4 linked regions of the Drosophila melanogaster genome follow. The protein of the gene in region 4 interacts with the protein of the main gene of each other region in a pairwise test. Each region holds a gene or a part of one and is shown on either strand. Other genes may lie near its edges.

Region 1 (6,421 bases), on a different chromosome or scaffold from region 4:
ATTAACTTATTCTATGTTCAAAATGAACTTTCAAATAATATTTGCAAACTTTTAATCATAGGATACCGGCAAGTCTAAACCTTCATTTTGTGCCACCAATATACTGTGTGTTTATCGTTTTGTGTACCTCTAAGCATCTTTTTTTATGTTTTATGCCGCCCGCTGGCTATTTGTGCGCCAAATGCATTTGTATCGATATGCCGCTCATATAAAATAAATTTAATAGATACTTGTGAAATCGCCAGTGCAAATAGTGCTGCGATGCAGCAGTTCTGTGTTGGGGAAGTTGCAGCACAGTGGAATGCCGCCGCTAAAACAAACATCCGAGTCATCAGCCGGAAATGGGATACACGCTCGGTCCTTGTCTGGCCTTCCTTCCGTACTTGCCAGCTCCTCCTCTGACCTCTCAACCCAGAAACTTGAATCCTGATCCCCAATACCAACAGATTCGCTATGGCAATAAATCCCCCAAGGAAGTGGGTGGCACAATAGCAGAAAAACTCATGAAGTGGCAAAGAGTTGCGATTGTGTAAACAAATATATTAGGAAGAAGTCAGAGGTGTAGATGGAAAGGGGCTCTTAAATTGAAATCATTCGATGAAAATAAAATATAGTTATAGCTTTAAGTATTTCCCAGAAGTAGCTTATGTTTTACTTGTTTTAAAGCAAAACTTTAATTGGGTTTCCTTTTGGCCATGCTGCATGCCACGTAGAGAAACGAATGTTTATAGCACTAATTTTATTTGTTAAACTAACAAAAGCAGCAGCAACGACGACGAGCTGGGCAAATAAATGTGTCTCAGAAACGATTGAGCGCACAGAGACAGTCATATAAACAGAGGGACATAAAACTCATACGACATGTGGGCCGGCAGGCACTTGGCAATGCGTGAGCGTGAGAACATGGCACTTCATTCACGCCCCGGAAATGCCCCACCCACTAGCTACGTACCATCCAGCTCTTTCTCCAGTGTAAAACTCCGTACGGACAGCAGTTGAACCGAAAGCCAAAGACAAAGAGGAGCCGAAACAAAAAGCCCGGTCTACAGTTGCGCCTGCCGAACAATTTATACGACTATTTGAAGTTGGAGGACTGAGTAAATGCTGCCTAAGTGTGCGTAAATCTATAAGGACACCCAGTCGTCCCAGTCGTCAGGACCTACGGAGGAGCTGGAGAACCCATCGAAGGATTTCGGCTGTCTCCATTGTCACCCGGCCACCACTCGTTCTTTCTCCCAACCTCCAAAGTGTTAACACATCGTTGCCATCCCCCCAACATCCCGAACTCGTCACGATTTCGTCCCGTTCTCCAGTTTGTTTTTATGTTGTAAACCATTTTCATTTGTTTTTCGTCGCTCTCCACTCCTTTTGCGTCTTGGGCGATTGAGATATTCCCTTCTGTTTGACTTCAAAATTGATAGTTTTAGCCAGATTATGATCTGTTTATTGTGCAAAGTGCTGTGAACCGGGGATTGGGCGGCAATTAAGTCGCCTTGTGCGGCGAATGTGAATGTAAAATGTGTTTCCGTTGATAGCTGAGATAGAGGCGCCGTTTAGGCGTTGTCCTTCGTGTTTGATCGACTGATAGATAGAGTGGCAATGTCCTTAACTTAATTTACTCCTGAGAAGAAAGACAGGAAGATAGGGAGCCACCTCAAGCAGCGTGAACAACAAGAACTGAACTTATTTCCGGCGGAAGTATCAGTATTCGGCAATTTCCGGCCTGCCCTTGGCTTTCATTCTTTGCTCCCTCGCTACGAAACTTTCGCCGGCAATAAATGTTAATACATATTAAGCGATATCCCATCCAGTCAATGAGTGGACCAAGTTCGAACTTCGGCACGTCCATGCCGAATCAATTTATCGAGTCAAAGTGTAATTAATGCCACTGCGGCAGGACAATCGGCCAGAACTAGACTCAACTACTCGGCGCATCCGTCGAATTGCCGGAATGGCTCAATTGTCAGACTCCATAGCACTTCCATTAGCCGCTGCCTTCATTAGGGCCTGGCCATAATCATCATCATCAATAATCTGGCTCTGAAAACACATCACAAATTAATTTTGACAGCTCTTGCCAGCTATTAATATCAATTATTCAAATAGTTCGGCAACCAGCTGACGAACTTCAAGGCAATGCCCCCCACATTACCAATAAGCTGATTCATTACTGTCCGTTGGTTATGTCATCAGAGTGCTCCTTTTGTTACTTTTTCGCCTATCGAAGATGCAGACGCTTTGTTTTCAATAATGAGCAACATCTGATGCGTTTAAAATGTTGGCCATGTTCTTTGGTAGCCTAGGTTTGCTCTCAAAGACTTGTGGCTCTAGGGCCCAGACGATAGCAATGTTCACAAAAGTATAACATTGCACCAGAAGGCTCTTTGTATATACCATAATATGCCATAAAGGATGCAGAGAAACTAAATGATTTAGAACAGAAAGCAAGACCATACTTGCTGTGGGTTGTGTTTCCTACATTTGTCAAAGAGCATTTCAAACAAACTCTTATCAATTGAATCCACTTAAAGAACAATTTACAAATCACTCGCTTATTGACATTATCATTGAAAATTCGTTTCGATTTTCAATCGTGCTTCCTGCCCCGTTCATTTTCTATGATACCAAAATAGCAGATTGGTTGACCCTCCGCTTTTCACATGGCAGCTCAAAATTATGCGTGCACATGTATGAAATACCGAATTGACTAATATTTATTTATACAATTTTGCGGTTCACAGAATGCAGATAATTCAATTCCAGTGTCAAATTTGCCAAAATGTGCGTGTGGCTGGCTCAGCCCACCGCTCACCTCAAATGCAATTCAATTTGGCGATAAACCAATTTAAAGCCGACCAAAAATGAACGAAAAACTGTATGGAATTAAATGTACACATACTCACACTCGCATATTCCACTGTGTGTGTGTGTGTGTGTGGATGCGGGTAGTCTGTTTATCTCTCAGTCGCGGCTTCGGGGTCAGAGGTTATCGAGTGGCGACCGTCGACCGAAGCTTTGGAAACCGTGCAAACTGTTGGTAGTCGAACGTCTATCGCAGTGCCAACAAGTCGGCGATGAAGCGGTTTCTTGTGGCCTTATTGGCCGCTCTGCTGGTAGCCGCCGTCCAGGGCGGAATTCTGGGCAGAATTTTCCACAGGGAGTCCACCTCCACAACAACCAGCACAACTACGACGACCACAGAGGAGCCCCGCCGACCCTTCTACATCAACAACAATATTCCCGAAATCCCGAAGGACTGTGTGGCGCAGTTCAAGTGCAAAAAGAAGCTGGCGAATGTTCAGGCTCCAAAACCGTGTGTGAAATACTGCCTGCACAGGATCACCTGTCCCAATAACCAGACCAGTCCCGTTCAGCCCAACCAGTGTGTCGATCTCGACGAGCAACAGGTGCTGGCCGTCCACGAGGCAAACACGGAGCCTCCGGTCGCCGGCCAAACCACCACCGAGAAGACCATGATGGTGGCCATGATCGACTTCCCCTGCCAGCCCGGCTATCTGCCCGACCATCGTGGTCGCTGTCGGGAAATCTGGTGATTCGATGGCTTCGTGACACGTGTTTACTGCATAATTATACCTGTGGAATTTTCGTTTTTATATACATGCCTGCTCCCAATAATCACAATAAAACCCAAACGAACGGCTTTTGCCCAAAGATCGAACACAGTGAACAATTTGATAAGTGTTTCGGGTGTAAATACCACCAATCTGCCAGTCACAACAAATGGCTGCGGTTTGTGACTAGTGATTGTGTTATCAGTGAGTTGAAAACATTTCAAATCAAACTGGTATTTTCATATATACTAGTGAAAAAAGTGTGGACTCAAAACAATGCACTCGCTGTTGGCAAGAATAAAAAGAGTTTTGGCCATTTTTAAAATAATAAATAAATAGATAAATAATTAACAACTTACATGCCCTAACTCTATTTCGTTTGCTGTTTAGACCAGCTGCTTATAACCTCTAGAAATAAATTAAAATTTCTTTAATTGTTTTTTGAACATATTTTTGTAAGTGCATTCTCCGCCGTGAGTGGTCACTGTTCGGGAATAATACTTTTGCTGTCCCGACACGCCAAGTGTCAAACACACCTCCTTTGGTTGGTTGGGAATCGGTGGACTCAGACATGAGTGGCGGAATTAGGGACTGAATGAAGTGGGGGTGGGGGGGCTTACCTCCAAATGGGCGGGGCACTGGGCGGAGTCGTGGCAGTCAACAATTTTGTCTAATTACAACGGGAGAAACGAGCAGCCAGCGACAAGCCATAAAAAATATGCCATTTGCACGAAAATAACTGTGATGTGCTGTGACCTGTAGCCCCCGCCATTGATAGCCTCCAGCAAACAGGATAAGGAGGACGAGGTCCTGGATTGAAGGAGGAGTTGCCGAAAAAGCCAAAGCCACAGATATAGCTAACAAATGGCTTAATTCCAGCCAGCAGCTTGAATGCTCGGAATGCCGAGCGATAAAAAGTACATGTATTAAAATTAACAAAACAACAAGACGCAGACAAGAGACGCCTTCTTTTTTGGCCCATTTGGATGGGTGAAGGTGGTGGATTTGTGTAGGTTTTGAAGCCTACTTCCATCACGTGATTGACGCACATTTCGAGCCCAGAGAATACAACTGCTAATTCGACGCACCCAACTATGGGGATCAAGGAGGAGGATTTGGAATGGGGCTGGTGGAAATTTTATGTGTCTTCGTCATGTTAATTGTTTTCCTTTGTTCGTGGGCATTGTGGACTGCTTTTTGCCGCCACAACCATTGCTTTAGCTTTAGCTTTTGCTTTGTTGTAAGCCATAATTTGCGCGCTTATAACTCAAAAGTTTCGCCGTCAAGCCAAACGCAACTAACTTTATTAACTGAAGGAGCGCGCGCCTTAGCCAGGTTTTGACTTCATTTGTGCCCCATTCTTTTTGTTTTCTTGATTTCCGTTTCCGAGCGTCGGTTTAGCAGGAGGACGCAACTTTCTTTGGCTTGTTTTTATGGTAATCGGCGCATAACAAAAACCACACCACCACCACAACAACGCACCACACCGCCCCACCCACCTGTGTGTCTTGGTGGTACGGTTGGCGGTGGCATGGTATTTGGAAATTAAACTGCGCATAGTCCTTAAAATTTTATAACTTAATTTCTCTTGGTCTGGCATTTTTGTGAACTTTTTGATTTGATTTCGTTTGGCACTCGCACAACTCCTTTTTCGCCATATCGGTTGGCTGTCTGTGGGTGGTTGGTTTGGATTGGATTGGCTTGGTTTGGATTTGGGTGGCTTTTCAGGTGGCTTTCTGGGTGGGTAAGGCAGTGACGTGCCTGGCGTTCTTTTCCAGCCCGGAATTCGGCATGCGAATTAGAATAATAAACTGTTGGAATTTATTTGGCGCAGGAAAATGCTTTGGCTGCGCTGATAAGGTTGATCTATGGCCGGTGGCATTTCAATGGCCGCGATAAGAGCAATGAGTTTTGAAGGATTATGCCGGTGGCAGCATAATTGATGTGATGCGAACATAACTCAATTGTGGCGTAATTGCGGCCCTCGAATCTGGCTTTTCCGCCAGTTACGCACTCCATTATTTGTATAGCCCTTAGCCGGCCAACCGATGCTCTATCCCACTGGCATTTTACCCTAGTTATACAAACGTAAAAATGCCAGCTTTTGCAGCTGCTTTCATTATGCTAATTGCACGGACATCAACTGCGGAAACAATGCAACTAATAACAGAAAGCAGGGGCAATCGGTGCAGCAAAAGAGCGGAAAAGCGAACAGGTATATACATAGGTACACAGGTTGGCAGGTACGGAGGTGAACTAGGGAAGAAACCAAAGAATTTTCATTAAAATTTTCATTTAGTTGCGCAATTATTTTTGTGCAGCCATTTTAATAACACTAATTTACCTTCAATTCCCAACTCTTTTTCGAGTCACACAAAGGCCACCGATGATGAAAGAGATGGTGAATCGCATGGTGAATGCGAATGCGAAAGAGACGGGGACATACGGTTATAAATATGCGCAGCTGCAGGATAATAAAAATGATAAGTTTTTCTCTCTCTCTCTTTCACTTTCTGTCGTTTTTGCCGTCTTTTAATTTCATTCCTTTCAGCATTCACTCAACCGGCCACAGCTGAAGCTCAGCTATTACACTGGGAAAAATGTAGATACTTCTTTAAATTTATATAATTTATACCATTGAGACTCAACTACAATTGTGTCATGGAATATGCTATCCGAGAATCATATCCTTTGAGAGAATATTTGTTTGATCGGTTTTAGAAGCATAGTTGGTTCGATAAATTCCAAAAAATATTCTACATTTCCCTCACTGCTTCGATTCGAAATTGGTCACAATTTGGGGAAAAAAATTTTCTCTTTTTTCCCGGTACCATCGGTTGTCATGCGAC
Region 2 (8,204 bases), on a different chromosome or scaffold from region 4:
TATCAGATTGCTAGCTTTTCGCTTGTCTCTAGAGAAATGGGTGAAAGGGCATACATAAGGCTACTTATTAACAAAAAAATTTCTTATTTTTGTACTAAATGCCTTCTAACAGTTATTTTCATTTTGAAATATCCCACCCAAAACTAGTGCTCCACTTCTGATCGCAAGACTCCGCTTGTAAGGCCTTATGTTCCTTTCAACCCTGTAGTAATTTGAACGGAAGTTTTGGGGCTTCACGATTTTTGTGGTTAATTTCCAGGCATCCTAAGTCTGCGAAAATTAATCGAAGGCATGAAAAGCCCAAGGGCGGTTGCTATATCTACATCCGCATCCGGAGGCGACGATCTGCCAACTGACTCCAGCTGGAGTCGGTGTCTTCCCTATCGTTCCGGTCCTCGTACGGATGTGGAGTGAAAGCTCTCCCAGATGTGAGTGAAAGCTTCTGAAAACAGAGCGCCGGCGCCGATTGAGTGCTTCTCAAAATTGTGGGTGGTGCCAAAATTAGCTTGAGTGCTTTGTCTTGAGATAAGAGTGTTTTACTTAATAGGAATTTTATCGGGGCTACCTGGTGTCCAAGTCGCTGGATTTGCTGGTGATCCAAAGCACTTGTATCCTTCTGTCCTTTGCTTCGAAGCTTCATTATTTTCTCTAGCTGATTTTAAATAGCGCGCCCAAGTGGCGAATGCATTATCGATAACTACCGACAGATACTGTTTGGCCAGTCGACGTGCACGGTTGCACGCAGCGTGGACTATCGAGAGAAGCGTTATCGATGTGTGGTCGCTTATCGATGCAGTTTTATAAACAGAACTCTAAAGTACAACAAAAGCACAAATTAAGCAGCTGCCGCGCGAAAAAACAACCATCTCGGCCCCGCTCGCATCTCGGCATGTCCAGCGGCGGGAGGCGCAGCGCCTAGTCCCGCGCCTCCGCTCCTCTCAAGGAAATCCCCCTGCGCCGCCACGCAATTATGCAAGTTGCAGCAGTGGATCTAACTGTACTCGCCGCCAGTGGAACAGCAAGAGGAGGAGGAGGAGGAGCCCCACGGGCCCGAGCCCATGACCCTTGACAACCCGTGGCAGGCACCGCCACCGCTAGAAGACGAGTCCACACACTCGGTAAATAGGTGCCCACCAGTGGCCGACCAGGCGTCACAGACTAACTCTTCTCCTGCCGCCTATAGACATGAACCAGAAACATTCCGAACCATTCTACATATCGCCCCGGCTGTTCGACAACCGTCGTCTCAAGCGGCGCCGCTGTCGGTGGATGGAACGCCTGCTTGAGCACCAGCGGATCTGCATGGCCCGGATGCGCGACCAAGTGGCTCTCGCCTCCAAGACTGACCGGCAGCTGTCCCATCTGCAGCGGCGCCATGTCGCCTCCACTTTGCAGCCGGACGTGACCATCGACCTGCTGTCGGATGACGATGAGACCCCATCGGCCGGACAGCCCGCTGCAGCTGGCCACAATCGCCTCCTGATTCCTGCCCCAGGGCACCGAGCACATAGAACGGGCAGAAGGCAGGCGCCGCGCAGAGCTGCCACCCACTCATACCCAGTGACCGACAGCATCCTGATAACCAGCGATGACGAGCACAACGAGCAGGAACCCAGCAGCACGGCAAGAGTGCGCTCCCAGCTCTCCATGCGCTCACCGCCACCGCTCGCACCGCTCACACAGTCGGAGACCATCGAAGAGGTAACTGTTTCGTTGGTGCCGCGCACCTCCACCACTGCCAACTGCCTGACGCGGGTGTCAGGTCACCCCAAGCCGTGTCGAGCGTCGACGGCGGCCAGCAATGGATTCGCCACCGCCGAAGGCGGAGAGGGCGGCAATGAAACGGGCTGTTTTCTGGAGGTGGACGTGGGCGGAGGCATCACAGCCACGCTGCCGGACGAGACGACCGTTCACACGGTCATCGCAAACCGTATTTACGAACTCTCGCTGAGCAAACTACGCGAAGGCCTGGCTTTTAGTGGAGTGCCGGAATACACGAACGACCTGATGCCGGAGCAGCTGCAGAAACTGTCACCGGCATTGCGCGCCAAAGTGGCGCCCTTGGTGGCTCCCTCGCCGCCCACGCCCATCTCCCTAAAACTGTCCAGCGACCTCAGCATATCACTGATCTCAGACGAAGACGATTGCGAAAGCACCGGTCCACATGTCAACGGAGGAGTCGGCACCGAACCGGTGCACCCCGTCGTGGTGGCTGCGGCGGAGGCACACGCTGCCGCCAAGCTGCTCAAGCAGCAGCAGCCACAGCTCTCGGTGGTGCAGCATCTGCAGTACGTCGGCGGCGGACTCGCAGCTCCAGTGGCTCTTGCCCTTCCGGTGATGGCAGCAAATCCGACCTCGTCTGCTTCCGTTGTTGCCTTGCCGCTGCAGCTGCCGCGGCGCCGAAAACTGGGATGAGCTGGATGACTGATGACCGATGACCCGCCAGAACCGAGTCCCCATCGCCATAATATCATTCCCCGAGCCGGAAGCACGGCATAGACTTTAACTAGCAGTGGCTAGAAGTGCAAATATGAACGTAGGTTTAGCGACAACACATCACTATTTCCCAGTTATCCTTGAATCCAGGACTAGTCCTTGTCCGGTCGATTTTTGTATCCTTCCCCTTTCCCAAGCACCTTCTCTCCATCTCACTCAGTTGCCCATTAATCTCCCTGTCTCTGTCATTCTCATATTTTAAGCTTTAAATGAAACGAGACGACAACGTACAAATGAAAGTAGAAAAGCATCAACCCATATACATTGTTGAGCAAAAAACACAAATTTCAAAAGATTATAAGAGGGAGTAGAAAATTTGAAGCGAGTGAGAAAGGTGAGCCCAATATTTATAAAGTACAAGTAGCTAGCTTAAGATATACTATGTATATGTACATTTGATTTAGTGTATCATATATTACATGGCTGAATCACGTCGTGTAATCCGTCGCAGTCCGCCGTCTGTATTACATTAGCTGATCACCAAACCGGAATAAATTTTCATTGTATATATATATATATATACATGTACACCAGCTGTGAGAAAAGGAAACTATGCGTATGCCATCAAGGTTCGTTTCGACCAAGCGCTCCTTGAACCACGACTGATCTCTGGCCAGGATTTCGTGGGTGAACTCGTATCGCGCTAGGGCACTCTTAATATAGAGCGAGAGTTGCGGCAGGAGCAGATCCTCAGAGTGGCTGACAAAGTCATGGGATCCTTGGTCACGCGCTTCAGTCGCTGAGCATGCTAATGCCCGCAGTGGTGTTGCCGCAAAACTGTCGAATACAATCGTAAATGAAAATGAAATCGAGTTGCATCTTCTGTGGCCAAACTCACTCGAGTGTTGTCCACGTGCGGCTTGATCGCGCCAGAGTCAGCCAAGTCCAGGATGTGCACGAAGGGCATGACCTGCTCACCGAAGGAAACTCACGAGACGTGATCCAGCGTGGCCTGGTTTTGGGGAGTCCACTTTCGGCGTTCAACTTCGCGGTATCTGCCTGCGAAGTTTAAGAAGTTTAGCCAGAAATCCGATACTATATAGTCTCTATATATACCCACCCACGTCATCACAGTGGCTCAACTCGTACGGCAAGCGGCTGATGTGAGGCTCGATTTCCCGCATCAGTAGTTGCTCCTCCTTCGCAGTGATGAAGTCCCTGATGACCCGCATGTCCGATTCAAACTGGTGCTGCTCACAGCGAGGCCACTGGCCGGGAAACTCCACCAGGGCGTGGCTGCGGGCCCAGACATCCGCTGGAATCCTGGCTACTCCCGGATAAACAAGCCGGCGCAGGACAAGCATGTGTTTCGTCACCTGTTTTTAAAGGCCTTCCGCCCAGTAATCGATTGGAGCCATTCGATAGCCACATGCGCTCAACCGCCAAGAAAATTACTCGATTGCCCCGGCACCAGGTAAACACACACAACAGAGCAGCGTCGGAATGCAGGGATGCCAGGACCTCTGACGGCTGGATGCCAGGGAACTTCGCTGGTCCGGGAACACTCGATTGGTAACGCATGCGCCGTGCAAGCACGCAGTCCTCGTTCGGCTAGGGCGGAAACGCTTTCCGGTGTAGATATACCAGAAATATTTCTGCTCTTCTGGCGTTATGCTGCGTCGGTGGACGAGTGCCGTGTCCTGACTCCAGAAAGCTGTGTAGTGACGAGTGCAAAGCGAAGCGAATTGAATCGAATCTTTATCCTAAGGACACGGCTAAATCGGTGAGCTCCTCGAGCTATGAGCACCTAGACCCGTTAATTGTGAAACCTTCCTGAATCGGCAAGGCAAGTGCGGTTTGAGAAAATGCCAGAAACATCGCCGGTGAACCGCCCACACACCCCCAAAGGTGCATAGGTATACAAGGTACAGCTAGGACGAGATCCCCCATGAAAACCCAAAGGAATCCAGCCAACTGACCGCTGACGTGTGTGGAAAAGTCAACAGACACGAGCTCCCCTCCACCGTGTTTAATGTGCACTCGTGCCCTGGAAACTGGACGCAACTGACACAATTAATGGCGGCTGGGAAAAAACGGGCCGGGGCACCGCACCTAAAACTAATCAAAAATTCCTTTAGTGGCCCGCAATAATGCCGATGGGCAGTGAATGTGGGTGGCTGTGTACATATTCCCAGGCACTGGCACTGGCAAAGGCAAAGGCATACTAAAACCCGTGAAGTGCTGCACTGAAAAGTATACCATGTTTCGTGTGTACCCATCTCTGCGTCCGTTTCCTTTTGGTGCCCCTTCCTCGGATTTCTTGCTCGAGATAAACATGTACATGCAGCCAAAATAACTTGACATGCCTTGTTTAAAGCAACTTCCAACTCCAAAAACGTTTACATATGCAAAACAAATTCGAAAGTGATTCGTGTTCTCTCAGCAAATGGCATCTTAATGGCAACTGCGATGAACAATTGTATTCGGCCAACACTATTGTCTGTTCTGCCAGCCGCATTTCTGGGGTCCCGATCCAGATCCGCATGCAGTTCCAGATCCAGCTCCAGTCACGCCTTCCGCTCTGTCCTGCTTTCTTGCTCCATTCCGTGTTGCAGAGCAGAGTTTGCGCACTCCGTTGCATACTTTTTGCATTGAGCACTGGCACTGCCACTGCGAGGCTCCACTCCATTCCACCACACCCTGTTAAAGAATGTGCGAGGATACATGGTTTATCTACACCAAAGTTGCATGTTGTGTGTGTGCGGTTTAGCGTGTTGTTGCCGGTACCAAACGTAAACAAAGACCAAAAAAATAAGGACATTTTCACGTTACCCATACGCCCCGTTGTCTCTCATTTTCTGCAGCTGCAACATAGCCACTGAGCTCCGCACATCTCAAACGGCTGCAGGATGTTGATCCGTTGGAAGAGTAAGGACAAGAGCGCCTCCTCCAACCAGAGCGTCGGCGGCAGCAGCAGCTCCTCGTCGAAGAAGAAGCGCAAGGGTAGAGAGGGCGGTAAGTAATCGGAATCCATAAATCGGAAGGAAGCGAAATGAAATGAGCCTAACTCCAGCTCCCTCTCTTTCAGAAGAAGACTGGCAGAATGAGGCAAAGTCGGGACGGCTTCCGTCGAATGAACAGGGTATGTTAAGGACCAAAGACGTCCACGGATCTGTAGCCCCATCCTCAGTGTCTATGTGTTTCCCCAGGTGGCGACGAAAGACGACGAGCCATGCGACGCGACGATCCACGACGACATACGCTCGGCGGCGATATGCTGGTCTACGGCTCGCAGCATCCACACGCCCATCAGATGGCGCCCCAGCAACAGCGGGCCATGGATCTGGAGGTGAGCTCCATCTCCCATCTCAACTCGTTTCTACCATCAGTTTCTGATTCTTGTCCCTTCTTAGATGAGTACGCGCGCGCAGAAGAACAAAAAGAACCAGCCGATGCGCGGTTATGCGCCTGTTAACCAGGGACCGCTGTTCGACGACGATCCCGGCATCATGTCGGAGGTGGAAACGGCCAGCACCGGATTCCGGAGGGGCGGCAAGCAGCGCTCCTCGCTCCCCGTGGTACGCACGCCCTCGAAAACTCTGGAACGACCGCTGGGCCTGGTCTTTCTGCAGTACCGCTCGGAGACGAAGCGCGCCCTGCTGCCCAACGAGATCACTTCGATTGATACGGTGCGCGCCCTGTTCGTACGCTCGTTTCCGCGCCAGTTGACCATGTCATATCTGGAGGGGCCCAATGTGAAGATTTACATTCACGATGCCAGCAAGGATATGTTCTACGAGCTGGAGGACGTGCGCTCGCATCTGCGCGAGATCAGGGATCGCTCCGTGCTGCGTCTCTTTGAGTCCACTGAGGTGGCAGCCCCGCCCCAGATTCTGCCCGGCGGCCCTGGAATACCCCAACCCCTGCCGCAGGCGCAGGCCAATTGGGATCAGGATCAGAGCTACTTCAGCGAGCCGGAGTTCGACTCGGACTACAAGCACCAGCATATCCACAAATCAAAGGTAAGTGCTGCTAGATGGTATCAGTTAAATAGTCCTTTATTCAATATCACCGCGTAATTGCTAGGGTGAGGATGTAGGGCTTAGGGAAGCAGGATGGATTGGTGTCCATGAGCGAGTCAAGGATTGTTTGGTGGCCAAATGGGTGGCAACAGTAAAGCGTTGACTCCCACATGGACAATTGTGGCACAAGATGCCCAACCAATCGAATACTTATTCGTACATATATAGAAAAAAAAAAGATATGGAAATAATGGGGTGGGGCTGGGAAAGCTTAAGCTGGGGTCCTAGGACACTAGAATGTTATCCGAACTTTGGGAACAACTAGAAGTTACCACATGGACCCACACTGAGGCCCTTGAGGGCGTTGTTCATGTGCTCGCGCACATCCTTCCACGAAAACACGATGGCACCCTGGAAAGGCTCCGTGTGGCAGCTGCTACAGATGGCCATCACGGCCCTTACCTCCTCCTCGGCGGGCTCTCGGTCGTGCGTGCTGATCTCCTCCTCCAGGCTCATCTTGAGCGTAAGATCCTGCTTAAATTGCTGTCCGCCAAAGTCGGCGAGACCGTTGTAAATCAAGCTCCCATCCGTTCCGGAACCGACACCGTCGTCCACCACAGATCCATCGTCCAGCAGCACCAGGCCGCGCTTCTGAACCTTCTTAGTGGCGTCGGTGTTCCTCTTGAACTGGATGTGGGTCTCCGTTTCGTCGATGAACTGCACGTTGGCTGAGTTACTTAGCATTTGGAAGCGTTTGCCACCGCCACTAGGCTGCAATCCGCTCGGCGGCGAGAGGCCAAGGAGTTGCTGGGCCACCAGTCGCGATCCCGCGTTTATCTGTCCGTTCACAAAATTTGTGTTGATGGTGATGGCCTGCTGGGCGGAATCGGTCGGAGCTCCGGCCGCGCCAGGAGCGGGAGCACCACTTGCAGTCGGCGGCGGATTGGCCAAGTTGATGCGCACCCGGGTCGGGATCTGGCCACTGGCGAGCAGCGTGTGCATGGGTTGAGGACGATTAATCTGAATGGAGGTCTGGCGTGTTATATTGTCTCCGTGGGCACTGGTTACGAACTTACCGAGGGTGGGGCACGAGTGGTGCTGGAGACCTCCTGGCCCTCGTGATCAAAGTGGTGGACATGGTGGTGCTTGTGGTCGCGATGCGCCTTGCCTGCACTGAGCGCCACCCGATAGACCTGGACGAGCGTCATCTCGAAGTGGAGGCCGTGGCTCACCTCGCCGGTGACCGAACTGCCGCCGGAGCGCAGCTTGCCATTCGCTGGGATTTTATGTCCCACCAACTGAAGCAATTAAGAATTAAGTGGAGACGGAGATTTGAGATTATAGCAGCTGACATTCGCACGCCGAAAGTGAAAACGCGAACAAGGCATTTTGCAATATGCGTAATTGGAGTCAAATGGAGTCAAACTCACCGAGTTGTGGAAACCACGCCCAATGCGTTCTGCCTTCAGCCAGGCCTGCCACTCGCCCGTCTTGCCATTCCACGAGCTGCACATGTGATGCCACTGGCGCATTTTCAACGGGTAGTTCAATCTTGAGCAGAAAAACGATAAAGATTCGACGGATTGACGCCGGATTGATCGATGGATGGTTGCGTCTAGACTTACCTGTACATTTGCTGACCTTTTATGGCCATCGAAAGGAAACTGGAATTCTGCGCATTTGCGACCCAGATTTGCACCTCGCGTGGTTCCTTTCCAGCTGCAAGTGTGAATGTGGATGTGGATG
Region 3 (8,486 bases), on a different chromosome or scaffold from region 4:
AGGAGTTGGCCAAGCCGGCGCGATACAGCAGGCATTGCGAGCTGGATGCGTCGACCATATCCAAGTGCGACGCGGCCCTGCTCCAGTCGTTCATCGACACTCGCTTCTCTGAAACATTCCAGGTAGAGATTCTGGCCACCAAGGGAACTGGCACCCATGTCGTACGACTCTTCTACCAGAGCAAGAACATCAGCGAGAAGCTTCAGGAATGTCAGTGATCACCCCGTTGTACAGTCAGATCGGACTCATATGTGCTCCATGCAGGAGATTGTGATTGGGTTGGCTAAAAACATGCGATGTATTATCCATTAAGTTGAACGAGTTAAACTTATTCAAAGGGAAGAGGAGGACACCACACGATTAGCCAAGATGCTTCATTGACTTTTCATGGAAAACCAAAATGAAAGCAATTTTTAATATTAATTAAAGAATCAATACGGAATGCAAAACATTATCACCAAAAACACAACAAAACGAAAAAAAATCGAACAAAAAAAAAAACGAAAAATCATTGAAAAAAAATGTATAAAAACAAACGAAAAATATTGAAAAAAACTTTAAAAAAAAATGTAATCTAGATAAAATTGGCACTAACCTATATATGTTAGTAGCTATTAAGGCGGATGACGATTTATTTAATTGCTCAACCTTGTTTAAAACAATTTTACATCATCAACGAAAGTTGGCGAATTGAAGAGAAGTGGAGTGAAGTTTAAACCTCCTCCAGATGAATTATTTATTTTTTCCCTTTATAACTGTATTTGTACTTTCTTTTCTCGATTAACCAACTGAAGAATCACATATGTTTTTCGTACTTTTTTTACTTTTCATTACCTAAACAAACAAGAAACATTGCAAATCGAAGACTTAAGGAAACTAAAAGGAAACTAATGGAATATGGGTTTATGTATTAAAACCTTCAATCACAATGTCATATTTTTCTACTATTTCTTTTTCATGTTGTGAACAATATATTAAAACAAACCAATAAATACGATGAAAAGTAATGCCATATAGAGCGTATATTATTACCTGGTAGTTATACCTGGAGTTCCAGACCCGGTGCCAGGTAGCAATTAGCGGTCGTCAGTCGGGGATTTATTGGATTACGATGTGGAAAAGTGGCGAACGGACGGACAGGGCTCATGTCCGTGCTTGAGGAGATCTACGGGTGCCTGGGAATTTTACCTGTTGATAAGAAGAGAATTAAGTCGTCTGCCCACATTTATGATACGGATCAAGCTCTCATTGCTGACTATCCGCGATATCATTCACATTCATTTAGTTAGTTGCGATATCATTCATACGCGTTTACAACTGTATTGTCAGCTGGCGTGGATGCTTCATTAGATGCCTCTGTATCAATTTCGATTATCAATCGCTTGCTAATTGAATGAGTGGCCGGCCAAATCAGAAATATCCACATTTGAACTGTCAAAATCCCGAAAACAATTCAATTTCCAGTCGCAGAGTGTATCAGTTTCCATTGCTGTTATCAAAGAGAGCGCTTCTCTCTCCACTCCGAATTTTCCATCCGAATTTTCACAGTGCAGTGCAGTGTCATCTGGGAGCGTGCGTCCGCTTTATCAGCATTTTTCGGTGTGCTTTGCTCGGGCGATCGGATTGTCGGAGTCCGAAAGGCCAAAAACTGAAACGATCGTTTCAATTCTGTGTCTGCGGTTGAATTGAACGGTTCCGGCCAACGTGCGCGCTCCGTAACGATTGCTATAACATTCTACGGCGTAATCATAACTAAAAAATATTGATAATATAACATATAAAGCTGTTTGAATATTACATATATATAAAATATATAAAGATCACAGAAAATCGAAGAATCCTAGAAGAGCATAGAGTGATGTGTGTGTAGTGAACTAACAAGAATCCTGCCATTTTACTAGGATTATCATCGCCGACTTTAAATGGGATTATACCTGAACACTTGAATTTCCCCAGCGGTAAGCGGACGGAAAAATCTGTTTGGATTTTTTTTGATTTTTTTTTGTTGATTATTTTGCTTTCTTGATGGTAGTATTATGGGGTCTGGCGGGTTATCGTGAATGGTGCACATAGTACTACGACTAGATTGCACAACAGCTGTGTAAGCTATATTGAATTTTCTAATCAGGAAACTTAGCATTGAAATGTGCGCCAGTCTCTGGATTCTATATGCTCTATATGCAACCAAAAGAGTCTCCACGACAGCATAATGCGATAGAATCCAAGTTAAATTGATTTCAATTAGCGGAGGCAGCACAACGGCAATTGTGAGCCTTTCTCTGTGTGTGTAGCACACATATCTTGCAGATAAAATAAAAGTTTCACTATATACTATATACTACTTGCTGTGTGTATCTACTAAAAGTAACGCTTCAGCAGGGCTGTTTATTCAGTAATTAACTGTGGTAAAAACACGTAGGGAACACCTGCTTATCAAGGCGCAGACTAATCTTTACAGCCAGTGTGTTCTGGAAAAGTAATCAAAGCCTCGAGAATAGGGAAACGTTCTCAACAAAGAAAAGTTATACAAAATGTCATATTCTTAAATAATAAACACATGATCGAAATATGATATTTTCGACTGGCATTCCGATAAAGTAGAGTAGTCACTGTATTTGGATACTTTTGTTTTTTTTTTTTTTTGTTTTTTTCAGTCCCTGGGCAAATGTTTTCTTGATTGTGTTTAATTGAAATAAATGAACAACGCTCTTTTATGCTACACCAATCTTTACGGGGCCGTTTCAATTAATTTTTTTTTTTATTGTTCTTGGCATCGCCGTTATAATTTTGAAAGAAGCTATCAGCAGAATGGGGACTTACACGATAAGAGCACTTGACGTACTCTGATAAGCTTCGGTTTTTTTTGAGGAAAATATGATTGTTACCCAATGGCATTTCTGGGAGGTGGGTGGTAATGAGAAGGTAGCCCAGATGGGAAGGTTGTCTCAAAGCAATGTTTCATCAGTGCATCAGAGAGAGAGAGAGAGAGAAGAGTCCAAACAAATAAATCTTTATCGTAGCAACGAGAAATGTGAATAAATCTCGGGGCCCTCCGGTGCACACACACACACACGCACACCTGTTGGGGGTCGGCCAGGGAGGGGGTGGAGCTGAAAGATATATATGCCGATCGGACGGGGTATAGCCGATAATATATGCCTACTTCTGCGACGCCCACAATGTGTGACAGGAACTATCACAAGAGCACATAAATCCATTCACAAATGTTTAGAATGTTATTAAAATATTTGATACTAATTTCGTGTTTTTTTTTTATCTTCCGATTTTTTTTTTTTGTGGTGGGGGATTTTCGATTTCATGTTGCGTTTTGTTAGTCCAATAATCGCTTGGCTCGGCGAACAGATAAATAATCCCTCCTCGTCATATTTATCATATCGGGCAGGCTGCAATCCGTTGGTCGACAGTCGGATACGGGCAGCTGGGTGAATGAATCGCTAGCGCCTTGGACCATTCCGATCCGTAACCCATTTCTGCCACCCCATTCGCCTTTCCATGGCATTGTTTGTCTGGTCTGCCGCCTGATTGGGTATAATATATAAATAAATATTGAAGCTGAACAAATGCGGCGAAAGTGAAAAACATAAATTGTGACCCCAACCAATAATTCCAACTCGCAAAGAACTAATATCTAAGGCTAATTCGGATTCACCATTTGATTTGCGGGACGGGATCACTTTTATGGCCATAGCCGCCAAGTGGATCTACCATTTGGTGCCTGGCATTAGCCCTTTTTATGGCCAATTTCCTTGAATTCCCAGCCCCCTAACAAAAGTTGTATAATAAAGTCAGTCAGCTGGGGGATGCGATGCAATCTCCTCAAATCCAAAAGTTTGCATTTGGTCGCCACTGTTTATGCTGCCATCTCATTCTGGCCACTGTTTTGGGCTTTTCTGGTTAATTTTAATTTAAATATATGAAATATATTTATAGCCATTGTTGCGGTTGCTGTCAGTCCAAGAGAATGTGTGTGGAAATCGCTTCAATATTTCTTTTGATATTTTCTGCTTCGTTTTTTCGCTGATTCGACAGGCGGCTCTAATGACAGAGGTAGCCGCACCACACTGGGTGGCAAAAGTGTGCGCCACGCTTCCGCTAGTGGAGCAAACATATTGGCAGAAACTGTTTTTCATTTTCTATGTTTTCATTTCGTGAGCACATGCCTCTCAAGTGGAGCGCAACATTTTTTGGTCAAAGGCCAAGACACTTCAGCTAGCTGGAAAATAGGCAAAAATTAATAAATGGTCGAATCATGATGTCTAAATGGGGACCATGAATCACTTAAATTTTTCCAAGCCAACGCAGCTAGTATGAGCAACGACGAATGGTTACTAACTTTATAATTGATTAGCACTCTTTTGTTGCCTTTGCAAGAGGCCAAGATCTTATCGGCCAACTGGGCGCTCCATATGTCTTAATTCCGCCACTTGGACGGGCTCAAAGTGATTTGCCAATATGGATGGATATCTACGACGTCGTTCATCATTCATTGGTAAGCAAGCGTTTGAGCTTCGTGTAAATAGAACTATCCACTTTTGCTGACCCGCAATTGATTTCACGGGAATTTCAGCTTCGTTGGGCGAAATGATGAAAACTTCAGCTGCGACAGCAATTAGCCCGAATGTCACAAATGGAAAATTACAATACTCAAGACATTACTCATGTTGTTCGGTTTTCATTTTCACATTTTTCACAATGCAAAATCACGCAAAGCCAGCTGATACAAAGTTGGGAAACGTGCAATTTTCTAATTGCCCTTCAATGGGGCGTAACAGAGACATTAACAATGGATTCTGGCCATTTCCAATTCCCAAATGTGCATACCGAGTGGGCTTACATGTTTAGATCATGTCTAGATATATGTACTTATCCTGAGGTATAAATCACGTCGAAGCATTCCTATTTCTGGCCCATAATCGATTATTGGCTTTCATTTTCACCAAAAACACTTATATTGCTTTTGGCAAATTTCGGGAAATGCTTTTGTGAATCTGACATATTGAAAAGAGCCATAAAGGCATTTTAATGGAATATTTGTTTGATTTATGGCTACCCCTTTTGCTGTTTGATGTAGAATCAAAAGATTTACACGCCGCACGATAAGATATTGGAGCAATGGCAAGTGCTTCCCAAAATGGCAGTGAGTCAGTTATTTTTCGGGCTAGTTGCTTTTATTACTATTATAGGGCCGCCAAATGTTTCCGCCGCCGCAATGCGGAATCATCTTTTGTTGATGTGCATGAATGCAGCGGGAATGACACTGATTGTGTGTTACGTATACGTAATATGAATATCGCGTATACGCAGGCCAACAGCAGCTGACCTAGGCTTCGAATTTGAGCTCAGTTTGTATCTGTATCTGTATCTGAGCTGCCATGGTTTAATTCCATCTGTCAGGTGCGGTAGATCCGCTTGATTGAATGCATTCAGCTTTGGATGCGAGTCCGCATTCACCCCCAAAAACCAATCAAAACCCAGACCCAGACCCCCAGCGATCGGCAATGATCTTGTAAATTGTTAATTCGAAAATAAACGCTTTGACGAGCCCATGGGCGATTGTTTGCTTAAATTTATTGTTCTAGTTTTAATCAAGAATATAAACAAGTTAGCGCCGAAATGAAGTCCCATCGTTTGGATTTACATTTTCATCTATATGTATATATGTTAATTTATTTTGGCAGAGCATGGAACTGCATTGGCAGCTGCTGACGTTCATCGTGTGCCTCCAGTTGTTGCATTCCGCCGGATTCATCATTCAGTCGGAAGTGCGCAAGTGCACGTACGGCCATATCGATAAGCTGCTCCGGATTCGTTGCTACGACTTGGACCTCAAGGAGGTGCCACAGAACCTCAAGAGTTCGGTGGAGGTGAGTAACGATCGAGGGGTCAGGCGATCAGACTTGGTCATTGCTGGGCCCCTCGTCACAGTTAGCCTCAATTGAGCTTAATTAAAGAATAAAGAAGTTGCCCACAAACATAAATTTATCCATTACACCGACATGCATAGTCGATGTGTATGGGAACCCTACCCATGCCATTCAAAACTCTCTACTGAAATTAAATGATCTGACAATTCGCTGAATGTTTTTTGCAGGTTCTGGATCTATCGCACAATCGCATCAGGAAGCTGAAAACTAGCTCGTTTCAGCGATACACGGACATTAAGTTTCTGATGCTCTATGATAACATGATCTTATCGGTGGAGGTGGGAACCTTCGAGCCACTCACCTCGCTCCAGGTAACAACGACATCCAATTAATCAACGAGTGTGTCTTTAATTAATTTCTTAATCGAAATTCCCAGGAAATTGATCTTTCGAATAATGGACTGACAACGATACCGCTGGAGTTGTTCCAGCTGCCGCGACTGAGAAACCTATACATCGATAGCAATGAGCTAACATCCCTCAATCTTCAGGCACTGGAGAAGCCCATTCGTGCTCCACTGGAGTACCTGAACGTGGCAGGTTGCGAGCTACAGGAGTTACCCGATCTGGGCATACTTCCAAGTAAGCAGAGATATGTAGATATATGGAATCTATCTAATATTGAACGATTCTCTTCAGAACTCTGGCAACTGAATGCCTCGATGAATCCGCTGCAGAACTTCAGGATCGACAGCCTGGCGAATATGTGCCACCTGCAGGTCATCGATCTGACCAAGTCGCAGTTGAGCCAGTGTGGCTGCCAGCAGGTCACCAACCATCTTATGATGCTCGGCGCCAGTCCGAAGTTCGTGCCAGTTTGCTTGGGTAAGTAGTGATGGCGATGATGGCGCTGCAGTCGGAGCAGCTGCTTATTTTTGGCACATGACCAACTTGCAATTCCATTTTCAGAGGCGCTCGACATCCGCGAGTGTCCACTGCCCTACAATCGAACGATCCATTCGCCAACATTCGCCAGTTGCCAGACGACACTGCAGTTTGCCGAAACGCGCAGCTTCTGGCTCTTTGGAGCTGGCTGCTTTGGCGGAGTTTGTTTTGTGCTTTTAAGTGAGTTACGAATTAGTTCTATTCGACATAAGTAAATACATTTCCCACCTCCCACAGTTGTCATCTTCTGCGTGATACACTGTAGGAGAAAACGAGCCCAGCGACGAAAGAGGAATGCCCAGAAGCGAAAGCCGTTTGTGATCTCGCCCAGAAACGCCATCAACAACCGTCAGCCGGAGGACGAGCCTCTGCACTGTGATATTGCCCGAAAATAGCACTTTAGTTAGTTAATTAGTTGCTTAGTTAGTTAGTTAGTCTTAGGTGCCAGTTATTTATTACCTACCATTTATGCGTTAGTTTAGCCTTAGGACAACCGTCTACCTAGCAAACTGCCTTGAATCCTTTACCAAAAATCACACAAAATCACCAAAAACCAAAAACAGCGCCATCAAAGAATATTGCCTTGCTCAAAAGCCATCGCTTATTTATTTGGTTTAATACGTAACATAGATTTAAGCCAGCAATGGAGTGGATTTTTTATAACGAATGACAATAAAACGTTGATTTAAAGAAGAAGTCTGTATTGAGTTTGTATTTAGACTTGGATATTTAGTTTCTTAACAACATTATGTATTTTTATGAATAAGGAAAAATATTAGAGATATACATTATTTGAATATATCGTTATTTATTTATTTTAGTTTAACTTAAAAATTGTCCTAAATCAATTTAAAGTGCATCAGCCTGAAAGTAGGCAAGCTATTTTGCAACCGACTTGGTGGTGAAGCCTTTTCATCACGGCCAACAAGTATGCAATGGTTTTACAGGCTTAGAGCATTCAGTTCCATGTTCAATCGACAATTCATTTTAATTGAATTACCAAATTGCTAATGAAAAAATCGTATTAATTCGATTTTAATTTATATATTAATTTCGATTTTATTAGGCTTTTTCTTTACAATTTGTTCGGCCTGCGTTCTCTTAAAATGCTTTTGTATAGTCTCGTCGCTCTTCGTCTCTTTCACAACTACTACTCAATGCTCGCTTTTGATGACTTTCTTTCGCACCTTTTTTATCGCGCTCTCTCTGCGCCTCTCTCTTTTACGCTTATAGCCGGCAAGTAAAGAAGAAGCATAAATAGAAATGAAATATAAGTAAGCGGAATGCAAAATACTTTTTCTTTGGCGCCTTCCTCCTCACACACACACATTCGCATTCGTATGTGAAACCAGAAAGAACAATATAGTATTCATACTGCACCTGTATATCGACTATAAAGTACGCTGTACGTTGTATGTTGTATTTTACCATATGTATAGCTTATGTGTTTCCTTTTTTAATGCGGTAGCCTAGGATGTTGAAAATTATTTTAATTACATTTTTAAATCCTTTTAAAAAGACCCTTGGCTCGGGACTTTAAATTCACTATTTATTTATTTTTATTTTTTCTCACTTATACATTTACCCAACTTGCCTTCGTGACTATATACCCTGTGTAGTTCACATATAGAGGGTATAATAAATCTCCCACCGGCTT
Region 4 (7,255 bases):
AAGCTCAACGGCCTGATCGAACTCCACCGTTGGCTGGAAGACTAGGACCTTCAAACGCGCCGGCAGAATTCTCTGCGTGCTCAACGATTTGCGGTATCCCAGTTTCGTGTAAATGCAGATGTGCTGCAACTTGGCCCAATAGTTACCCAGTTGCTCCACGCTGGAGAACTCAAAGTTAAGCTTCGTATACGAGCGATCGGCGCTCACTTGCATGTAGTTGTGCTCAGTGCTGGAAGTTGTGTCCAGCAAGCTGGTTCGCTGATTCAGGAATACCCAGCGGTGCAGGGAGTCACGACCTAACTTTTGCTCGCTCACCTAAATACGAATAATTATAATATGTGGACTTAAAGCAAAGGAATAGTGTTGCCCACCTGGATCAGACCCATATTGTTGAGCAGTCGCAGAGTGCCCACATAAATCTGCTGCAGTTTCAGGCGTGGCACAATGGTCTCCAGCTTCAGCTGGGAAAGCAGATAGTGCTGACGGATGGGATGCTGAAGCTGTAGACGCAAATCGTCGTTGGCTTCGCGCTCAATGCGGCAAATGCGCATAAAGAGCGAGAGCGGCATTCGGTCCATGGCATCCATGAAGTAAAGCCAGCCAGATGGTTTGTCCACGTAGCGCGGTAGCGGCGGTATAAAGGTGCGCCAGCCTATATCCTCAGTGTAGGGCTGAACCTTTGTTTCATCAGCCTGCCACTCGTCAAAGAACTGGCGCGGCTGCAGTGCCGGTTCCGACTTCTGCCACTGCTGCACAAGCTCGGCGGACATGGGCAGGGGCTTCTGTTCCGGCGACAGCTCGTGGTGCAAATAGTAGAGAAACTCGTGCAGTGTCCTAGCCAAAAGAAGTTTGGGTGCCTGCGTCTTGAACACCGCATTTGAACGCTCTGGCGCCAGTTTTCGACGAGCGAGTACCTCCTTGCGCTCTTTGGGTGCCATCTGTGATGGCCGCTTCATGCGCTCCTCGGTGATCAAGTGGAAGTTACTCTTTAGCTTGACAATCTCGCGTTTCATGACCGCGTGGTCAAGCCCGATCTTTGGATGCGTGGCGAAACGGTAGACACGAACTCGCTGATTGTAGTGCAGTGTGATCTCGAACACGTTTATAATATTTTCCTCAACCATTGGACGCAGCAGGCGCATCAACGAGCGGCGACATAGGCTGTCCTTAAAGCCGGCCTGCCGCTCCGTTTCCTGGACGGATCTTAAGACGCGGGGCAGGGACACCAAACAATTCTGGTCGATCTGGCGCACAATCATTTTCTGGCGGTTAATTTGGCGCTGCGTTTGATTGGCGGCTCTGGTCTTCTTAATTTTGAACGCTATGGGTCGGGCATTCGTCACGATCTCGGGCAAGTCCTTCAGCAGGACATCAGTGCTTTCGGTAATATTCTAGATAATAATATAGAAATACTAGGATAAACGCTTTTTCCTTATATAATATATATATATATATATATACTTACCGGCTCATCCTTACACCTAATCTCCAGTGCCTTTTTCTTGATCTCGTCTTCTTTTGAAAGGTCCCCCAAATGTCCTACGGCCACAAAGCGGAACTGCCGGCTCTTTCCCACCTGCTCCGAGTACTCTTTGACCAGGCCGTGCTTTTTCACTCGCTTCACAAAGTGTCGCATGTAGGTGGCGTTGATACCCGTGTAGTGGCACAACTCGTTGCTATTAAGACCACGTTTACCGAATCTCGCCACTGCGCGGAAAACTTCCTCCTCCGGAGGCATATCAAGAAAGCAGTGGCCCAGATCCAAGAACTCGGATACCTGATTATCCTCGCTGTCGTCGTTCTTGTACAGGTCCTTCAGTTGCATATCCGGATTGCGCAGCTGTATCACTGTCACCTTGCGTGTGGTTGCTTTGGACTGCTTTCCCGACTTTGTCAGTGGCGCAACGGGCCTTTCAACTTGCTTAGTCTCGAAGAACTTACGAAAGGAGTGGGTCACCAGCAATTTCTTTGTCTTAAAATTGGTAGGACGGCCTAGAAGATCGGTTATTTCGGTGACGGGCACTTGGCGGCTTGGCGTCCGCATTATTCCCAAGTATAGTTTTTCAAGATTTTCCTGAGAGTGGTTCTTGTAGATGCGGTAAAAGCGCGGTAGCATCAGCAGCGAAGAGACCAAGATGCGTCCCTTGTTAATTTCGTTATAGTTTTGGGCAATAATCAACTGCAGATTTATCAACTTGTTTCTGTAAGGAATGTAATTTTAAATATTAAATATAAGTATAGTTCATAAAACTCACTTGATATAGAAGAGAATCCCTGTGTCCTTGCTGTAGTTTATAAGCGACCAAGGGCCTGCGGTGGTGTGTCCGCTGTACCGAGACCGTCCGATGGCCTCCAGAAAGATGTAGTTGGGCAGTGGCAGATTCTTGGGCATCAGGAGGCTTTCGGGCGTGAGTGCTGTCTCCCGCAGCTCTTGGGAGGCCACCACTACGAGCCTGCCCGCCCACTGTTCCGTTGCTTGAGCGGCATTAAGAGAATGCAGATCGCTGGAAGGGATCAGCTTACGTGTCTTGAAGTCGTTGCAATTACCCTTAATGTCGCCCTCTTGCACATAGGCGGCCGGGAACAACATGTACGGACACTGCTCGGGCACCACGGGCAATCCCAGCTGCTCGTCGATGTCGTTGAGGCGATCATAGTAGGGCATTAGTGGTCTTTCCGCCGGCAGTTCAAAGAACTCGATCTTGTGAGGCGGCGTGCGTAGCAGCAAGGTCCACGTCTGTTCCCGGATGCGGTCAGGCAGCGGAGAGGGGAAAAACTCCAGTCGCCTGGCCAGAAGATCCCAGAGATCTAAAAGCATAAACAAATAACTTGGAGTTGATGTGTGGAGGGCATGGAAATCTCTTACAGGGCAATGTCACTCCCTCCAGACCCTCCAGAGCTACCTCATCGTAGATGGCATTAATCCAGGATCCTCCGGAACTGGCGCTCATTTTTCAAAACTTAATTTACCTTTAAAATGAGCTATCAAAACAAATTAGTGTTTTTGATTGTGATTATACTAGATGTAGAGTTGCCAACCATCATAAAGTTGTAACCACACTTAAAAACAGCTGTTGCGCAGTCGTAACTAAAAGTTTTTCAAAGATTTAGCAAATAACTACCACAAAATCCGATCCGAAATCTACTTAATGTAAATATTTTATTTTTTCTTTTAATTTTTAAATTTAAGCACTGCCCAATTGTTTTGGGTTATGCTTTTAACCACTGTAAAGTAATCGATAACTTTAAAAAGCGAGCTGTCATCCCTAAATATCCCATGTACAACAATACAGCTGTTGCTATCGTAAACAGACGCTGGAATTTAGCTTACACACTCCATATTCTTTGTTAAATCCGATATTTGACACCGAAAATGTCATCGGCTATATACCTAGAGAACTATTTAGACGGTAAGAAGATTCTTAAGCATGGAAAACACTCGAAAACATATATTATTCACGATTTACAAACAGGATTGGAAAGTCTGCCAACGGAGCTGGAGAGAAATTTTAAGCTGATGCGAAAATTAGACGATCGAGCACAAACAGCGATGAAGAGCATCGATAGCCATGCCAAGGACTTTATGCGCAAGCTGGGCGAGAACGGGGCCATGAGCGAGGATGAGAGGAGGGAGCGCCAGGAGGATATCAAGGCACTGTTCGGAAAGGCCAAGGAGTACAGCGACGACAAGGTGCAGCTGGCCATTCAGACCTACGAACTAGTGGACAAGCAGATACGGCGACTGGACAACGATTTAGCACGCTTCGAGGGTGAGATTCAGGAGAAGGCCTCATCCACGCGTGCCAAATCCGAGGAAGTGGTGGCCAAGAGTAAGACTGTTCCAAAGTATCTATTCTTCCACAAGCTGACCCCTTCCTTTGATTCCATTTGTACAGAAGGTCGCAAAAAAACCAAGGACAGCAAGACGACGGGCAAAAAGAAAAAGTCCGCATCCTCGGATGAGGAAACTGGGCGCGGCAACAACCAATCTAACGCCAATTCCAGTGTCAATTCGAGCAGCAATGCCGGGCAAGGTAGCAAAAAGAAAAAGTCCAAGGTAAATCAAGAAAAAGAAACTCGCAAGGGGGGCGCTCAAAAGGTAAACCATCCACATTCTCATCTATACATTGTTAGAACTTTAGTATGTTTACTGTTTCCCAGTTTTCATTGACCCTAAATAGAATACTCTTTACTTTTATAGATTATCCCCATAGAAATCCTGCATTATCCACTGTTTTCCATATCGTTTGCATTTTCACTTATGTACATGCACGCCTCCACTATCGTCGAAACCCCATTCTTACTCATTTTGCTAACATACCCATTTAGAAAACCGTCGAGGTTGATGACTCTGAGAAGGAATCGTGCCACACGGCCGCCACTCATCCCAGCGACGTTATGGACATGCCCGTCGATCCCAATGAGCCCACATATTGCCTATGCCACCAGGTGTCCTATGGAGAGATGATTGGCTGCGACAATCCCGACGTGAGTATTCGATTTTGATGTACTCTGTGGTCAGTTCTAGATCTTTCACTCTACCATTTTAGTGTCCCATCGAGTGGTTTCACTTCGCTTGTGTTGGCCTCACCACAAAGCCAAAGGGCAAGTGGTTCTGTCCCAAGTGTACGCAGGACAGAAAGAAGAAATAGATGCAATCCTTTATGATTACTTAGAATACTACTTTAGATTAAGCACAAAATTACCTATTTAAATAAAGCCACGGCTACTATAACTTCAGTATTATATTTGTCAATTTATTTCCTAACTAATTTGTAGTTAAATAATTCCATATCATAAAAGATGTTTTCACAGAATATTTCTAAAGTTGGATTGATTAATTTCAATTCATCAATGCCCTTTAATTCGGAGTTTACAAAGTTTTTCAGCCCAAGGAAAAGAAAACTGCAAAAGTAGCGATTACCAAATACCGATTATATTCATAAGCCTTTTTCCTTCGCAAACTAGCACGTAGTCTACCTTAAACCTAGTTTTATCTGCCGTTTTACGTTTTTCAGAATTTGAAAGCGACTAGAAGATTCCAATATCGATTACACGCTTGTCTGTATTTGCAAGCGTACATACATTCATCGGTAAGTGTAGTACATATATGAACATTTACATATGCAGTTAACAAATACAACTGCCTAATCAAAGGAATCGGTGGAAAAGAAACAAAATATATATATATATATATGTAACATCGCCACTGCATTGAGCCAAAAAGTGGAAAGAAAAGCAATTAGACTGGTGCATTAGTTATCCCGTATCCACTCGGTAATCGCTCTCATCAAATACTCGTGATCGTGGTCGTGGTGTGCGTTCAGATTTTGCTATTCAGTTGGCTGCACCCCCTACTTCTTGGTCATGATCTTCAAGTACTCGAGGGCATTCTGGGCGGCATGCCGCTGGGCATCGGCAGCTGTTGGTCCGCTGCCGTGGCAAACGCCAACGGGCAGCGTGGACAGTTGAACCAGGCACTGGAACTGGCCAGAGAAGGTCTTCTCCTCTATGTCCACATAGGTCACCTCGAACTGGTTCTCCGTGGCGATTTCGCCCAGCAGCTTGATGTAATCAATCTTGTTGTTCTTCAAGCAAGTCTTCTGAAAAAAATACAAATGGAGTCGAATTAGCAGAGTCAAATTAAACTTTGAACTTTCAAGCAAGAACACTATTATTATAAGGATTGTGAGGGGTTAAGGCAAATATGTACTTTCGAAAGCAGGTTTTGAATGTTGGAAATATGTTTGTGATCGTTTTTGAATAAAAAGCGTTATTGGATTGAAATTTACCTGTAACTTAAGCAGTTTTTTGCCCGTTGCATTTTTTAGGGTCTTATGGAACTGGGATACTTTGTTACTGTGCTGCGTGGTCAGTGTCGGCACAGAGATATCTTTCAATTCACCATAATAATTTTCACTACTGCGGGGCTGTAAATAAGAGCGCAAAGTTTTTGGTTTCTTTTCTCCATTGCATTTCGCACACATTTGAAATCACACACGCCAATGGTGAGTTGAAACATATCACTTTTGTGTGGAAAAGGTGCTTTACAGATTCGTTCTTTAAAACAATCACCATGCCAAGGAACAATATGAAAAATGAAAAATGAAATAAGCCAATATAAACCATAAATAAAACCAGAAATATAAATAAGGTGTAAGCATTATGTTAATTATATGTATAATTATGTCAAAAACATTAGTTATAAAAACAAGGACAATAAAAAATATCAGATAGCACACTATAAAAGGGATGCTATAGTACTAAAACTCTAGCTAGATACATAATTTAAAAGATTATAGGGATATTTACAACTGAGGATTACTCTAAACGTTCTACATTACATTTGAGAAGGGATAGAGGACAAACGTATTAAATAATATATAACATTTATGACATATATTTGATAAAATCAATTTTTAAAATTTTATAAACTAAAGCATGGGACTGCATTCAAAATAATTGCACTAAAAATATTAGAAAATTGCTTGTGGGTTAGATCTTGATGAACTCAAAATCTTTAGAGACTTGCTCGTAACGATCGATGTCTTGAATGATACTCACTTCGCCCTCCAACTCGCCGCAGATGCTGTCGCTGATTTTGCCCGAATCGATGGGAGTCTCCTGCAGACGCATCCACATGCGGTGGGCGGCCAAGCGCTTGGCTATCTTCTTGCTTTTGCCCTTGCCCATCTCGCGGTAGTTGAGTATCGAGCAGGCGATCGTAAAGAGCCGCTCGTGGGGAAGACCCACTTCCGTTTCCGTTTCGTACGACGGCGGTGGCCATCGCCGTTGCATGCACATTTCCTGCAACCAGCCAATCGGATTACCAACGGTCTTGTCGCTGGCACTGCAAGGACATAATACAATAAATTGGATATCTTAGAATCATATCTTAGACATCAATAGAATAAAAACTCACTCTCCTCCGCCTGTGGCATTGGCATTGCCGTCTCCTCCGCTTCCGGCGACCGTGAGCCCAGTCACCGACGGACCAGCGGAGCTGCTAGGCGATTCCGGCAGCTGCGCGCCGATCAGCTTGTCGATGAGCGCACGGGCCGCCGCATGCTTGGCCTCCTTCTTCGATCGTCCTGCCCCCATGGCCGTGAAGGGCGTATCCTTGTCTTTAAAGGACACGCGAAACCGGAAGGTCGGCTCATGTATGGCGCCCTCGATCTGGACAAGTTCATAGCCGGGAGTAATTCCTCGTCGGCTTAGCAGCTCTTGCAGAATGCTGACGGGCGTCTTCATGGCC

What was found.
Region 1: the proteins of Ing5 (region 4) and Gbp3 interact in a two-hybrid assay, tested with the Drosophila melanogaster proteins (one large-scale study listed by BioGRID).
Region 2: the proteins of Ing5 (region 4) and CG32809 interact in a two-hybrid assay, tested with the Drosophila melanogaster proteins (one large-scale study listed by BioGRID).
Region 3: the proteins of Ing5 (region 4) and Lapsyn interact in a two-hybrid assay, tested with the Drosophila melanogaster proteins (one large-scale study listed by BioGRID).

What each region holds. Positions count from the first base shown.
Region 1 is NT_033777.3:22,974,234-22,980,654, forward strand, and holds Gbp3 (Growth-blocking peptide 3), read left to right. Parts: upstream 1-3,036; 5' UTR 3,037-3,074; coding exon 3,075-3,554; 3' UTR 3,555-3,931; downstream 3,932-6,421.
Region 2 is NC_004354.4:1,688,454-1,696,657, reverse strand, and holds the start of CG32809 (uncharacterized protein), read left to right. Parts: upstream 1-3,889; 5' UTR 3,890-4,219; exon of another isoform or gene 4,220-4,361; intron 4,362-5,300; 5' UTR 5,301-5,345; coding exon 5,346-5,451; intron 5,452-5,524; coding exon of another isoform or gene 5,525-5,527; coding exon 5,528-5,578; intron 5,579-5,645; coding exon 5,646-5,785; intron 5,786-5,849; coding exon 5,850-6,458; intron 6,459-6,470; exon of another isoform or gene 6,471-6,779; coding exon of another isoform or gene 6,780-7,478; intron 7,479-7,534; coding exon of another isoform or gene 7,535-7,756; intron 7,757-7,888; coding exon of another isoform or gene 7,889-8,009; intron 8,010-8,083; coding exon of another isoform or gene 8,084-8,177; intron 8,178-8,204. Other genes in the region: a6, read left to right, coding at 1,186-2,415; b6, read right to left, coding at 6,780-7,478, 7,535-7,756, 7,889-8,009, 8,084-8,177.
Region 3 is NT_033778.4:21,191,909-21,200,394, forward strand, and holds Lapsyn (Leucine-rich repeat activity-regulated protein at synapses), read left to right. Parts: upstream 1-1,662; 5' UTR 1,663-1,958; intron 1,959-5,699; 5' UTR 5,700-5,702; coding exon 5,703-5,885; intron 5,886-6,112; coding exon 6,113-6,256; intron 6,257-6,321; coding exon 6,322-6,526; intron 6,527-6,583; coding exon 6,584-6,769; intron 6,770-6,853; coding exon 6,854-7,009; intron 7,010-7,066; coding exon 7,067-7,224; 3' UTR 7,225-7,523; downstream 7,524-8,486. Other genes in the region: tud (tudor), read left to right, coding at 1-218.
Region 4 is NT_033779.5:13,383,332-13,390,586, reverse strand, and holds Ing5 (inhibitor of growth family member 5), read left to right. Parts: upstream 1-3,274; 5' UTR 3,275-3,373; coding exon 3,374-3,410; intron 3,411-3,473; coding exon 3,474-3,830; intron 3,831-3,896; coding exon 3,897-4,099; intron 4,100-4,329; coding exon 4,330-4,488; intron 4,489-4,550; coding exon 4,551-4,652; 3' UTR 4,653-4,739; downstream 4,740-7,255. Other genes in the region: CG7099 (uncharacterized protein), read right to left, coding at 1-315, 372-1,391, 1,466-2,201, 2,256-2,808, 2,867-2,951; loqs (loquacious), read right to left, coding at 5,355-5,603, 5,793-5,930, 6,565-6,850, 6,923-7,255. UniProt on the Drosophila melanogaster protein: Component of the Enok complex which has a histone H3 acetyltransferase activity.